Oreochromis niloticus: one gene and its partner. The protein of the gene in region 1 interacts with the protein of each later gene in a biochemical or structural test. Links are inferred from orthologs where the notes say so. Each region holds a gene or a part of one and is shown in the gene's direction. Other genes may lie near its edges.

Region 1 (7,929 bases):
GATTGCAGTCACAGTCGGAACAAAGGAGGCTGCTGCACTGGTCTCAGTATCCTGGAAAAACCCACATCAGACAGACATGCATATGCATGCAGTAAAATACTAATTTAGCGTATCTGATGAATGGGCGACCACGTTATTGGCTGACCTTTAGCAATGTTTAAATGTTACATCAATCATTTGTCCAAGGAATGTCAAAGAAGACAAAAAAAATCTGCTCTCTGTAAACACCTCAGAACCAGCCGCGTGTCATATCGTGTCACATCCTCATCAGTTTTTATGATAGATAAAAAAAAAGGTTGCAACGAAGACTGTGAAGCAGACAGCATTACAAACAGTTTTATTTAAATAATAATATCATTGCGCTGTTTTTGTTTGTTTGTTTGTTTTTTAGGGATTTTCTACAGAGATACGCATGTTTTTCTAGTCATTTTTCCAACACGGGATAGTAATCCTGCTAGGGGAAATGCAGTGCATGAAAATGACTTCATAAAAATGTGAAGAATTTGAGGAATGCAGTATCACCCGCATGCGTCAAACACAAGATTACGCTTTGTGATCAGGTTTTTGTGTGTGTAATGAAGAGATCCGGCTCTACCTTGGTGCTGTCCACTGATGATGAAAGCGAGTCAGGAGGATGCTGACTGCACCCAGGGGTGTCCCCGCCAGGCGATGCTGTGCTACAGCTGGACGATAAGTCGAACTCAGTGCTGGAGTCTGGATGCATGGTTTCATTAAAAAATAAAAATTCAAAATAAAATTAAATCACCGCATAAGAGACTGAACAGTCAGTCTGTGCTAGACAGAAAACGGATGTCCCGGACGCCTATATTCCATTTGCCAGGTTCATAACTGTGCACATAGTGGAGAGGCCCGCCTTTTATAGTGAGCTGGAATTTTATGAATGAAATCTGTGTGGTGAGACCGAACCATTTCACCGAGGGAGAAGTGACAGGAGAAAGGGGCTAGCAGATGGGTTTTTTTACAGTTCAACAATCAAATCATTGAAGTGCGTAAAAATCAACACTAGCCCACTGTTTTATTTCAGCTTATTATCAGAACTCAAATGTTTTTTTTTTTAAAGTGAGCACATAGAAAATGGCACCCCTCCCTCCAAAAGGTGCCCACCGCCATGAATGAACTACGTCACTTCATGTATGCAGCATCTGCATCACAGGCTATATGTTCCCGTCATGCCCTCATATGTTCTCGACATTTAGCCTTTGTTTAATGCTTCTGGGCATTTACGGTAACACGAGCTCTCAATGCATTAGAAGGAAAGTGGAGGCAGTGTAATAGGCTTCATTAATAAATGGTTTTAAAATAGCCAGTGTGGTGCTTCCCCGGTTCTTTCTCCTCCAAACTGTCCACATTAGAACAATGATTATGCACTAATGTTCCATCATCTATTTATAGACACATAATAAAATCCGGCATTAATTTAATTATTTCACAGCACACTTCCAGCACACTGCCTGATTATTTATAAGCCGTCATAATTAAGTGTCATTCACGTATCACATTGCCTTTCACCTGTCTCTACATATGAATAGAGCTCCAGCAACAGAACTGTCGCTGAAGCCAAGCAGCCAATCGCCGAATGGACCGGTCGAGCCATATATGGTATTTCCGGGAGGGGTGGGGGGATGGGGGGGTGCTGTGGCACAAGGATAGGAAGGATAGCGCGCAGACGGACGCTGCCGGGCTGTGTGTGGCCCACTCACTCGCTGCCGCAAAAAGAAAGTAAAACAAGCTCTCAGAGATTGACCCTGTGCTGTACCTGATATCAGCGTCATCAGCTGCGCCAAGAATGCCCGCACAGGCGTTAGTTTGAGGATGCGAAGGATTTGACCCACCTTTCCATATAAGGGTGGCAATTAGGTGCAGCCGCAGATGTGCAAAACAGACTCATGAGGGAATCGGAGAATTCAAGAAGGCCAGTGACTGACATAATTTCTAGACAGGAACAACGTGACTTACTTTCTCACAGACGGTAATGCAGTTTATCGGCACCAATTAAAGCCCGGGCTTTAATTGATGTTCCCGCATAACCTAATTCTGCTCCCATAACAAGAGCTTGCGGGCCGGATTGGGCTATATTTAGGTTTCATGTGACCTCACGAACCCATCCAAGTGAAAGGGATAAGCGCTGGATAGAGTGAGAAGCTCCCCCCTGTTTGCTCTGCGCTCCCGGGTACTTCCCGGCAGTGGCAACCCCCCGCCTTGGGCCCTATTTACCGGCACATCACTATTGGTGGTCGTTTTGAGCGGCCTGGGACAAAAAGAAGTTCAAAGGTCGAACAATACTCACCTCTCAGCACAGCTCTAACAGTCGTTTTCTTCAAAGCAACTTGAGCGTGAATGCGCAAAGACTGTAGAATTTATTTTTAGATCCACTGGCATCCAAGTTCACGGTCATTTTAGTGAACTGTTCTCCTTTGAGGAGCCAAAGAGCAGCGATAAAAAAAAAAGAAAAAAAGAAATAACTTCAGGTATTAGATAGCATTTAGATAGTATTTAACTTTAAATACTTTTAAAAACAGCAATAAAAAATATGTTTTTATTTTAGAAATTGCCTTTCTTTCTTTCTTTCTTTCTTTCTTTTTATCATTATTATTATCATTATTATCATTATTATTATTATTATTATTGTTATTATAATTTTATTTCGATTCCAGTCTCAGTCCAACACGAAATAACACCAGCAAAAACCAGGTCACTCAAACAGTGCAGGTCAGCAACCTTCATGCCAACCACTCAAACAGAACTCAAACACCGCTCAAGGTAAACGGCTTGTTTGGTGTCCCGTTCCATTCCGTTGACCCGCAGACACCGAGGAAAGGGGAGGACTGTCAGAGATGGGAAAACACTCAGAGCTCTCACTCCGACGACGTTTCCGGGAACCGCTAATGACGTGTTCATGTGCACGTTCCGTCTCCACAGGCGATGCCGAAAAAGCCGGTTTGGTGTTTCTCTGTTGATGCGGCTCCTCCTCATGATTAGACACGATCTTCGTTGCTATGAAAAAATAAAAAATAAATGGACGTCACTGACGCGAAAGGGGCTGGGCGTCGCTATGACAACCAGGAATGTTCAACAAAACACTGGCGCGGGAAAGAAAGCGCAAAATCCTATAGCCTGAATTAGAGCCTTTTGACACAATGACACCTTTGTTTAGTCTTTATGGTTTGTTTAATGGGTCGAGAGCGCTTATGGTGCTTGTTTTGTGCTTGTTTAGTTAAAGAAGGGAATTCCCGGAAGACTCACGAGAGAGAGAAAAAAAGAAGAAGAAAAGTATGAATTGTGTTTCATTAAACTCATGTATCATGAATGTATCGCCTTTATTAAGAATAAACCATGAACAAAACTACCAGCAAATGTTGCTGACTTTGGTAATATTGCACGAAAGTCATGCTGCTTGTTCCACAGACCTACTTCTCAAGTGAACAGGATAATAAAAAAAAAAGTGCTGATGTCAGAGAACGAACAGTTATTAAACAGCAAATGCAGTCGCAATGTTGGCTCACCGTTAAGCCTGCATTTCATGAATTCGTTTCATAGCTTCTTACGTAAATCTTGAGGATTCCCTCTGCTAGTGGCTTTGGGGAAGACCTTTACAATTAACCGCCACCCCTCCCCATCTCCTGTCGTCGAGGAAACGTACACACAGAAAACCAGTTATCAGCTCGCTCTGCAGCTAAACACGCCCTGTTCTGGATTGCAGGCGAAAGGTACAAACAGTACCTGAGGGTGGAGAACATGTCACCCATGTCCTGACATGCAACGTTTATGTAGAGATATTTTAGACTGACTATGAAACAATTCCATTGTAACTTACTGGATATAAACGCATCTGGGATTAAGTAAGAAAAATACATGAATACAAAAATTAAATAAATAAGTAAATTAAAAGTCGGTTTACTTTAGAAAACGGACAGACCACAGAATCAAGTAAAAATTAATTACCCACCATTTTCTCGCTTATTCTTATCTTTATTTTTAATTATTCTTTGTATTTCGTGACCTACACATGCAAATGCGGACCTTCTGTGATTGTATGGATTGTCTCGCATTAAGTGTGTAACCATTTATCAAATTAAACACTTTAAAAATAGCCGATAAGTGAGTCAGTGAGTGAAGTTAGCGAGTACGTAAATAACATGTTATTTATATGCCAAATTTCAAGATGAATATCACAAAGTGCTTCACCACAAGCCGAAAGTTTGCACGATAAAACTGAGTTTCTATATTTCAAAAACATAAAAATAAAAAAGGAGGTGCGCGGCTGGGGGAGGGGGTTAAAAAAAACAGAAACAGATTTTTTTTTTTTTTTTCATGTGTTTGTTTGGTACATTTTGTTCAGCACAGACGCATTTGCATGTTTAATTGTGTCCTTGCTGTGTAGGACGCACTTTTCCTCACTGTTATCTCAGTTCTTTAAGTTTTCACAACAATCTCTGTTTGTTGTTTTACATAACGTCATGCCGCTGTCCGCCACTCTCACGGTGTATTTCCCATCAGGCCCCGCCTCCTTCACAGGATGCACCATATATGGATACCTACGTATCGGGGATCCCGCTCCGGAATATTCCATTTCTTGAAGACGAGTTTTAGAAATAAACATTTCAAATAGTCACTTATCACCTGTAAATGACTCATTCGTGACTCGTGCAAACAAACTGTATTGAATTTAAATGGAGCGCGAGGAAAAGTCGGTGTTATTACCGCGTTGTTAAGTCAGTGTTTTGGTGTTTTTTTTCCTTCCTGGTGTCGGGTGCACGGCACACCCCTCTTTACGTCAGCAGACAGTATATAAATGGCCCAGCTCGGAGAGTTGGCAGTCTAACTTTGAGTAGCAGAACAGCGACTAAGAGAACTGATCGGGAACAGCGCTTGAAGAGTTTTCTCGCAAACCCACTAAAGGACTATCCTGACCTCAAGTTTACATTCGTCCTTAGTAGAGTTTGTCCGGATCTTCTTATCTGCTTAATTTTTTTTCGAAAAAAAGGAACGATGATGTTCAATTTCAACGCGGATTGCGACTCTTCCTCTCGCTGCAGCACCGCTTCCCCGTCCGTGGACACTCTGGGATATTACCCGTCACCAGCGGGATCTTACTCCAGCATGGGATCTCCCCAGTCTCAGGTATGTCCGCTTAAACATTGTTAAATTTTTACAGCACGCTATTTCAGCTCAGAAAGGACCTGTTGGAGATTTGGATGTTTACTAAATTAAACTGACAAAACTTAAAAGTGATGTTTTCAGATAATAATAATGGTAATAATGAAAAAGGCTGGCTGGAAATTAAGAAAAGCACTCATTGAGTTTTGTTTTTAAATATGTATATATATATTTTAAAAAATAACTCTGACCTGCGCACCAAACAGTGCAAGGCAAGCTTCATTCATCCACCTGGAAACTCCATAGAGAGAGTGTAACGTCATAGCTGACATCATAAGGATATTTTTAAACCATCCAGCTTTTTATAGACCCTCCGTGCTTCATTCATAGACATCTTGCAATGCTGCCACCCCTCCTGATAATGTACTAAACGTCCTGACGATCTTCTCTTTTATTTCATTTCCTCCAGGATTTCACAGACCTGACAGCATCAAGTGCCTCCTTCATCCCCACAGTCACGGCCATTTCCACGAGCCCAGATCTTCAGTGGATGGTCCAGCCTGTGGTCTCCTCAGTGGCCCCTTCCCACGGAGCTCACCCTTACACCTCCAGCCCCAGCCCTGCATATTCAAGAGCAGTCATGAAATCTGCAGTGTCCAGGGCTCACAACAAGAGAGGCAAAGTGGAACAGGTAATTATCATTCGTTCATGAAGTGTTATATATAGTCATAGACTAAGTTTATTAAAGAGCAGGGGTCCTAACTTTTACCTTCTATCATGTGCAGATGACACCTGAGGAGGAAGAGAAGAGAAGGATTCGCAGAGAGAGGAATAAGCAGGCAGCAGCAAAATGCCGCAACAGGAGGCGAGAGCTTACAGACACTCTGCAAGCTGTAAGTATCCCATCAGACTTACCATCACTCATTAAAACGTGTTTATTGTCAGAGCTAATAGCAGAGCTATCCAACAGCCAAGCTGATGCAACTTCCTCCATTTCTCTCTCTTACAGGAAACTGATATCCTGGAAGACCAGAAATCCAACTTGCAGAATGATATCGCCAACCTGCTGAAGGAGAAGGAGAGGCTTGAGTTCATTCTGGCTGCCCACCAGCCCATTTGCAAAATCCCCTCTGAGCTGGGCACGGACTTCCCCCTGACCTCCCTCTCTCCTACCCATTCCTGCCACTCCGCTGCAGTGTCCACCCAGCCACAGATCACCGTCTCTCAGACACCTGCTATCGCTTCCAGCCAGCCGACCTTCACCTCAACCTCCAACTCCATCTTCTCCAGCACCAGCACCGCCCTCTCCACAGCCACTGTCTCTAGCAGCACAGTCAAGATGTCAGACCTGGAGTCCTCTGTCCTGGAGGAGTCTCTGGATCTCCTGGCAAAGACAGAGATGGAGACGGCACGGTCGGTGCCAGAGGTCGACCTGTCCAGCTCCCTCTACACGGGTCAGGAGTGGGAGGCTCTTCACACCTCAGCTAATACCAATGACTTCGAGCCCCTGTGCACACCTGTAGTAACCTGCACCCCAGCCTGCACTACCTTCACGTCTTCATTTGTATTCACCTTCCCAGAGGCAGAGACCTTCCCCACCTGCGGCGTTGCCCACAGGAGAGGAAGCAGCAGCAATGAGCAGTCCTCCGACTCCCTCAGCTCACCCACCCTGCTGGCCCTCTAAAAGACTGTACAAGAAACAATGATTCTTCCTATCAAAGCACACTTTCTTACATAGATGTGCCGATCACAGGGCTATGGAACAGACTTATATTAAATTATTTATGATTTTTATCTGCCTTTATCTATACTTGCCTATAACACCAATGTAGCAAGTTTAAAAAACAAAAACAAAAAAACCCCTCCCCGCATGTTTCAACTAATACCACCTAGTCGTTATATGAGTTCGTATATGATTTATATGGTGCTAGATAACATAACTTGTTGTTTATCGATGTGTGTTCAGAGCAATAGTTATTATTGATCCAGTTTGTTTTCTGGTTAATGGAATGTGAGAGTTAATATGTGAACTGTTTGTGAAATTTTAAAAAGAAAAAAAACAAACAAAAAAAGACGTGCATTGTCTTAACCATGGTCTGAGTGGTCTATCCGAAGTTTTCTGTGAAAACATTAGTCCTTTTAATTTATTAAATTTATTTTTTTACACATAGAGGAATAGAGAAAGAGATAGTAAAGAAGAATGTTGTTTGTAAGTTATGTAAATAAAAAGATAGTGATATTTCAATTCAATCATCTGTGCTGGCTGGGTGTGTTGCTTCCTCTCATGATATCCACACACACACACACACACACACACACACGCATTTACATATTTATTCAGTTCAATTCAGGTGTATTCATCAGTCACCTCATGGGGCAAGGACTTTGCGACAGCGGGAAGGAAAAACTCTTTTTAACAGGAAGAAACCTCGCCCCATGTTTAGGGGAAGAGAGGCAAAGGAAAAATAATTAAAGAAAAGATGAAAGAGAAAAATAATAAAAGAAAAAATAAAAGAGGGGAATATTCTCAGGAGTAGTAAATTAAAAGCATTTCCAGTAAAATGCTTTCAAAAATGATTAAAATAATGCTAAAATTAGCTTATATAAGGGATAGCCATCTTTTTTCCCTGCACCTCCACTTGCTCTATTTATTGTTCCGCCTGTTGCCAGGGTTAACTATGTCAGGGGCTCTTACGTCAGTGCGTTCTTTCCATTTTTTTAATCGCAAGCCGTGCGCGATGACGTCTGGACTTCCGTGCCCAAATATAGGGCTTTGCGAGGAGTCTGCTGCTCGCTGCCGCCTGCCAACAG
Region 2 (7,671 bases), about 5.8 Mb from region 1:
CCAAACATCTAATAGACAATGCCCTGGGGGTTACCGCTGTGCACGTACAGTCGGCTTTGTGTGGAGAACAATGTTTACAGTTCAGCCCAGTCCTTGGGGTAGAAACACAGACACTCATTTGTACTGGGTTTCGGCAGACTTTAGCATAATACTGTCAGCAAGACGGAAACATTAATCTTACAAGAGATGCAGGTGATAAATATCACCTTTTAAATCCCGAAACCGAAACAGTGCTCATTGTTCTACTGTTTTATTGTTAATAAAATAGGAAAACGTGTACAGTCTTAAACACCATGACAGCGTTCTTTTTGTCATTATAAATCTAGGTCAGCGTGGCTTTGGAGTACCCCCATATGATTTGAATTTGATATTCTGATATAAATAAGATGTAAGGCCATAAACTATGGTACAGTTGTGTGATTATCCTAAGACAATGCCGCCAGTGAACTCTGGGAGCTGGCCTGTGTGCCTGTGCTCCAGGCTGTATTATGACTGGTTCAAGTCAGCGTCCTGCTCATACATCTTTCTAAAATTATACACCACAAGGAAGAAAAGCGGCCACTTCTAACAATGTCAAAAATTCAGATTTAGACCTCCCTACGCCTCCCCCCGTTTTTTTTTTTTTATCTTGTTATTGTCTTACACGGGGACTGAAAGACGAGTCACAGCGTTATGAAATCATGTGAGGAGGGCAATTATCCATCACAAAAGCCCCACAAAAATAAAAAAGAAAAAAAAATAACCCACCGGCTGGAGAAGACAACAGAGCCTTTTGTTTGCTGCATTGTCAGTGACACAGTACCGAACTCCTCCTCATAATAGCTTGTTTCTCTAGAGCACTGTCTGCCTTTATCAGGCACACTTTGTTCTCCTCAACAAGTAAACTGAGTTTGTGAGAGTCATAATCGGCAGCTCATCTGAAAGCTCATTCAGGTTGGGATTGGCTGTTGTCACCCCCAGATTTGAGTCACGGCCAGCGCAGAGTTAATTTATTCTTCCTAGCGCACGAGATGAATGACACACAGTCATTTCTGTTATTGACATTTGCCTGGAGTGACGACATCATGTGACCGGGGGCGTCATGTGACTCCCGGGCCTTGTTGCCGTACAGTTGTATCATCGGTGCATTGTAATTATAATGCTGACTTAGCAGTTCGGCCACTTGAACTCTGTCAACCTTGGCCTTAGCAGCTATAGTAAAATCTCTCAGCTGTTGACAACTGACCACACAATGACAGGGTTTCAGGCGGCCGCAACTATACTGTACCGGTCTCAGTGGACACGGACTGTAGAAAAAATCTGAATAGAGTAGAAGCAGGAACATCACCAAGATCCTCAGTCATGGTCTTTGGTCTGAAGAAGCTGCTGTAAGTTTCATTTCAGGCCTCAGCGGCGGGACCTGTCCTCACCTTTAACACAGCATGGCATATGTAAACCAGACAGCAGGATTTGTGGAGGACCAGTATGCTTTTCATACAAAAAGCACCATGAAGTTTCACAGAGGTGGAGAAATAGCGGGAGACTGGTATGCACGCCAGAGTAAGGAAGATATATATAAGTCAAACTCCATCTACTTAGCACACAAATTAAACCAACTTGTCAGTGAACATTTAGAAATCATCGCTTGGGTCTCAGCGGGCCTCGCTGTTTGAACTGCAGTGTAGGTAGGCACTGTTTATCCTGGACTGGCCCTTGATTAAAATGAGGAATGGAAGAAGGGGGAAAAAAAGAAGAAATGGCTCAGTCTCTCGGTGGTCAGCCACAGCCTCCTCATCGCAGCCTCCACCAGTGATCTGACTTTCTCCTTTTTGCAATTTTATGTAATCACAACTCCAAGAGCTATTTTTAATGTGTGTTTAGGTTGTGCGCGCGCCATTCGATATTAAACATTTCCCCTTATTACTTAAAGGCCGACTTTATTTTCCCTCATAGCTGTGACTCCAAAAACAGCTGTCCAGACACCACAAGAAAGGTCCTTAAGTCACTGGAAGATGTAGATACCGCTGCTGGACTCCAAAAGAAAAATATCTACTTTTCATTAAGATTATACCATACCGTACTTCACCAAACAATTCACAAAGAACATCAACATCCTCTTGGCGAAACGGCGCGATAGATTAAGTTTTTCACTTCCATGAGTTTTGGATCCCGTTGAAGCGAACTTCTGCGTGGCGCTCGCTTTATTCTGTTGCTTCAGGTCACCGTTCTGCCTCAGCAGCAGCGTAAGGGGATATTTACGTTCACACCAGTGGCGCGGTGGCCAACAGAAGCTGATTGCAAGTGGTGTTTGTTTCCAACGAAAGCACGTTAATTCGGGCCCGGCCGCAGTGTAAACTACCTTGGCGTTTTACAGATGTCGCCTGTTAAAGTGAATCACTGTACCTGCCTGTTTGCCCGACCGGGCCGTTCTGATGCCTCGCCAGAGAGAGTACACAACACGAGCCAACGGGGCTATTAATAAGCCCTTCCTTTTCTAATACTGTAATCCGTCCGTGTGTGTAATGTCTCACTCCGGGCTAATTATGTCACGTCATTTTTAGCTTTCGCGACGAGACGAATACAGACAGCCTCAGCCTGAGTTCATTTTAACCCATCTTAGGTATCATTATCCCCCAATATTTTTCAGAAATAATTTTCTTTGAAAACAGTCATCTGCGAAGGTCATCTGCTGTGACAGAGCGAGGAAACAGCAGCACTGCATTACACACATGCTGCGTTAATAGCATGTGTCGTTTTTTAAGCGCGCTCCAACACACGATACCTCTATTATGTGTCTGCGAGAGCTTGTGATAACAAAGCGAGTCCATTTGAAGGTGTGTGGTCCTGAGTGGTAGAAGAGGGAAAGTGTCTGGCAGGGTGGGCCATCAACCACAGTCCTCAGGGCAGACCTTGGCCAGAGCTCAGAGTATGGCCAAGCTCTTCAGCGCCGCACACAAGTATAGCAAGCTTAGTGTACGGCCACCAGTGGAGAACCAGTAATGAATGAAATATTATATTCCACATTATATTTCAGCCTGTAACATTATTACCTGCACATAAAATCTCGTCTTTTTTTTTTTTGACAGCAAGATGTACGAATGTTACAGAATAAAGCTTCAAACTGTAACAACACAGCGACGAGGTACAGTTAAGTATTTCCTTTAACTGCATTTATACATTTATACATAGGCCTGGATTTGCAAAAGATATAAATACATATATAAAACAGGGTTTTTTTTTATGAGCTCTAAATACCAGCACGGATGGGTTTTGCCGTGTTTGGCTCTTCTCTCATCAACATAATTTCCAGAGAAAAATTCTTCCAATCAAGCTGACTTAAATCCAATGAATAGCTTTTCAAGTGAGCTCTGCTGAACTGCACAAAGTTCCAAAAACAATTCTTATACCAACAAAGTCAGAACCTTTCATTTGGATGTCTTCTGGATTTGATCTAGAGGGAGTTAAATCTTCAGATTTGAAGACCAGCAGTTTCAGTGCTGGAAAAGTGCACAGTGGTTTTTCATAAGGTGTGTGAACCTCTGACCTGACAGCGAGATGGGCCGACTTCAACGAAACTTTGCTGCTGTATCGGGGGGGAGGGGGGCACCCTCGGCTCTGCAAAGTTGAAATCTGTGCAGCCCGGACAGAATTCATGCGAGATATCTGACACTACAACATCATCACAGTTCAGATTTTCGCCATCAAGGTTGTTTATCACATGCCGTGCCACCCAAGAAGTTATGTTTCCTGCCATGTGAGTGGAGCTTGACATTTATGCTTTACTTTTCGTTCCATGTTTTAGATTCAATCACGATGTGCAAATTATATCCCCATCAAACTGCGTGCAATTTACTGTGGCTCAGCGGCACTCGGTGGTGCTGGACTCTGTCCCAAAGTTTAATACTTCTGACAGAAAAGCATCCATTTGCAGTAACCCTAAAAATGTTTATACATGACCTTAAATATTATTCTTGAAATACTTAAAGTATCGAGCACTAAACTGATCCAGATCTGCAACCGTCTCTCTTTGCTGCTGCACTGCTGTGATCTAAAACTTACAACGTCTAACAACTGCAGAAGTCTGCTTCTGGGGGTTTTGAGTATTTTCTATTTCGAGTGAACGTAAACTGCACGGATGACACGATCGATTAAATCTTGCCACGGAAACAGGTACTGTCTGTCATATTCGATGTGTTTGCAGCATCTGAATGGCCCTTCCCTACTGTGCTGTAACATGCGCTGCAACTCAAGAGGCATGTTCTTGTTTTAGACAGCAAATATTTACAAAGCACCGCGCCAAGGAAAATGTTTCGCTGTACGAAAATAAGGTCGGTGGCAAAGACTTGTGGAAATGCTGTTGTGCCTCTCGGGGAGGGGGAGTGGTGTTATAATTTATGTTTGACATATTAGTAGTAGTATTTGAAACAAAAAGGGCTCAGACTCAATCGCTAGAATATGACAGTATGCTTAGTTTTTACACAGACAGTAGTGTTAATTGTTTTGTTGACTGTGTGTTTAGGTCTCTCTTTTTTTTGAGATACAGTGATATATTTGTTTATTGTGGACTTTGGCTTTGATGAAAATTTTTCAAGACTGTTGCTTAAGCATGGTATTTAAATGCTATTTTATATGTTTTTAAAAAACACCCAAATTTTAATGTGCTGTCTATTTTAAATATAGTATTTAAAAGCAGACTGATAAATTAAAAAACACTTATTCTAATTTGTTTCTAAAATGTGTATCTGTATATATATATAGATATAGATAGATAGAGAGAGAGAGAGATTTTCTACTGCCAAACCAGGAGTGGTATAGATACATTACAATCGATACATGCATTATTAGCAGGGCCTAACATATATATTATTTTTCTTAAATCACAAGTAGCATGAACAACCCACAGAACCCAGTGTCATTGGATCCTTGGAGCTTCGTTGTATCATTTCTATTAAGAAACACCCCCAATAATCTTCACTCACAATAAGTGTAATAGTAGCTGAACGTAGTATCTCTTAAGATGTTTATTGCTTCTTTTTGTTTCTTTGTGGGTTTAATGTAATTGAATGTGGTGAGCCACACAAATAAAAGTTGACTGTTCTCCATGGTATATTGGCACAGGTAGCAATACCTAGGTAGAATATAAAAAAAACCTGTCACATAAAAGCAAAATTACCTACCTGAACAGCTGTCATCTCATAAATTAGAAGCATTTGATAGGCTTATTCTGACGGCTAATTAAAAGGGAGAAAGTTTCAACGGGCAAAAACAAATCTAAGACAGAAAGACAAAAGGCTGAGGAGCTACTCGACTCTTTGCTGCTTAGTCACACATGCCTGCTGGCAAATGAAAGAATGATTAAGATACTGTTAACACTTTCAAACCTGACTGAACTGCCAGCTTCATTCCACACATTCCTCTGCTTCTCTTCTAACACCCCGTCTGCGTTTTTCTGATGTGTTGTAACAAACACCTGTGATCAGTGATCAAAAGACAAACCGTGCTGAGATGTGCGAGGGTGTGGGAATCGGTGTGTGCGTGGAGCGTGTGATGATTCACTGTTAATTGTCGAGACCTGCCTGCTCTGCACTACAGGTTGGCAGGCCGTTCTCGGCAGGGTGATGGGGTGTGTGTGTGTCTCCTGTTAGAAGACATCTCTTTTACAGAAAAGACAGGTGGCCATGATCTATGGCCTCTTACGGGAATCGCCCCCCTGACTGCTGCTTCAGTGAGAGCCAATGAAAGCTCAGTATAGGCTTGGATGCATACATGCACATGCACAAACACGGCTATTACGGTAATAACGCGGTGACATAACTACTGTTTGTGACACAGCAACGTGCAAGGAGTGAGAAAGAGAACAAATTCAGGCTGCACCGAGACGACTCTTCAGACACGCTCCTCGGTAAATAAGCAGAGTGTCACACCACCTCCGCTTTCCCTTCACACACATGCGCTCGCCCAGCTTTTTCCTCTCTTCCCCAATTCTTTCTGCTGCAGACAAACACGCGCGTGTACACACCCAGTCTCACACCACCACCACCACCAGCCAGCCATTCGCTCCTCACTCACACCCTCAAATCTTACCAAGCTGAGCTCTCCCTGCTCAGAGGCAGACAGGAGCAGCACGGCAGCCTGCTAAAGGAGTTGAGGGAAGGAGCAGCAGTGTCAGGGAGAGAGAGAGTTTGAGGAGAGAGAGTGAGGAGGGAGGGGGATGAAAGAGTGAAGGGAGACCAACCCAAGAGAGAGCACTGCTCCCCATATGCTGAGGAGGCATGGGCGGTTGAACAAGCTGCCCCCACTGAAGCCTCCTGACTCATGGGAGCGTCAGACCCCGATCCCCAGAGAGCCTGGAAATGCTGCCGAACCACGCGCAAGAGAGAAGGAGGGGAGCCAGAGAGTAGAGGAAAAAAAAAGTCCAAGGAGAGGAGAGGGAAGAAAGCCACAACGGTAGGCTGTCCCAACTCAACTGCTGTGCCGTGATGACGTCAGAGGGCATGTGACCCAGGCTCTCCAGTGACGGCACATGGAGGGCAGGAAAGAGACGAGTTTTAAAGCTGGTGCCTTTTGGGTTGTGTGAGGGCTCTGCTCGCCTCCCAAACAACCACAGAACCACAGACGTGCGGCTCGGGGTTGGTGTTTGAGGGCGACCTGGAGTGTAAATGGTTAATCGTCGCGGGCCAGCACCAGTCACAAGGACGGCGCTAAGCGAGTAAGTACGTCCCAACCACACTCGCCAAGCAAGCAAGTCCGACACCATCTGATCTATCCGCAAAGGCGATATTTGTCTCTGCAATTTTTTTTTTCCTCTATAAAACCAGACCTGGTTGTTACTTGTGGTCATCCAAATAGTTGATACGTAAAAGCATGTCTTGTGGATGGCTTTTCCATTTTTTTTTCTTCATGACATGCTGCGTGCTCTTGGTTTAGGACGTGTCAAGGGTCAAGGAAACCACAGAAGAACAAAAGTGGGGCTTGCTGCAACCAGAGGCAGCTATGGCATCTAACAGCCTTTTCAGCACAGTGACACCATGTCAGCAAAACTTCTTCTGGGGTGAGTACCACTTTCCTGCTCCCTGTTGTGTCTGGATTGGGTTGGGGGGCTCAGGTCACAGGAAGGACTTGGGGTCAGGTGGTGAGGCTTGGGTGGTGGAATTAACGGGGTTCGAGGAAAGCGGGCGAAGATGTTGGAACTGGTCCGATGTTTTGGGTCCAGATGAGTGGAGGGGATCAGCTGAGGTCATGGAGGACCCCGCTATCAAGGTCCAAGCTTTTGTGGCGGACAAAACACCCAACTATCATCAAGGCTTTTTCTCCTTTTTCTTTGTGCACCCAAAAGAAAAAAACAACAAGAAAAGAAAATCTGCACATAGAGATTCCAGTATTTATTCTATGTGATGTTTATAAATATTTTCCAAAGAGGGAGATGATATGTTTGTGCAACATACCCTTAGATTTACAAAGCGATGCCATTGCGGAACCAAAAACAAAGGCACGGGTGATATTTTTGACAGACGTAAACAGACGCTGCACAAGGGAGTTTACAGTGGAGCATTGGAACAAGATGTGGGGGATTACTGGGCTGTGTGTGTTGGGTGCCTCTGCTTGCGCATAGAGAAGAAGTATTGATTAGTTTGCCAAGAAAGATCTGTAATCGCTTCCTGAAATTGTTCAGTTGCGCTGCTGTCGTTAATT

The links. The genes of interacting proteins can lie anywhere in the genome.
Region 2: the proteins of fosab (region 1) and runx2b form a complex in vitro, tested with the Homo sapiens proteins (2 studies listed by BioGRID). The link is inferred for Oreochromis niloticus from reciprocal best matches to the Homo sapiens genes FOS and RUNX2.

Annotation. Positions count from the first base shown.
Region 1 is NC_031980.2:9,324,157-9,332,085, forward strand, and holds fosab (v-fos FBJ murine osteosarcoma viral oncogene homolog Ab), read left to right. Parts: upstream 1-4,830; 5' UTR 4,831-5,010; coding exon 5,011-5,142; intron 5,143-5,587; coding exon 5,588-5,809; intron 5,810-5,903; coding exon 5,904-6,011; intron 6,012-6,127; coding exon 6,128-6,802; 3' UTR 6,803-7,368; downstream 7,369-7,929. Other genes in the region: proto-oncogene c-Fos, read right to left, coding at 1-51, 596-724. UniProt on the Homo sapiens protein: Nuclear phosphoprotein which forms a tight but non-covalently linked complex with the JUN/AP-1 transcription factor. In the heterodimer, FOS and JUN/AP-1 basic regions each seems to interact with symmetrical DNA half sites.
Region 2 is NC_031980.2:3,484,858-3,492,528, reverse strand, and holds the start of runx2b (runt-related transcription factor 2b), read left to right. Parts: upstream 1-4,663; 5' UTR 4,664-6,692; intron 6,693-6,906; 5' UTR 6,907-6,972; coding exon 6,973-7,030; intron 7,031-7,671. UniProt on the Homo sapiens protein: Transcription factor involved in osteoblastic differentiation and skeletal morphogenesis. Essential for the maturation of osteoblasts and both intramembranous and endochondral ossification.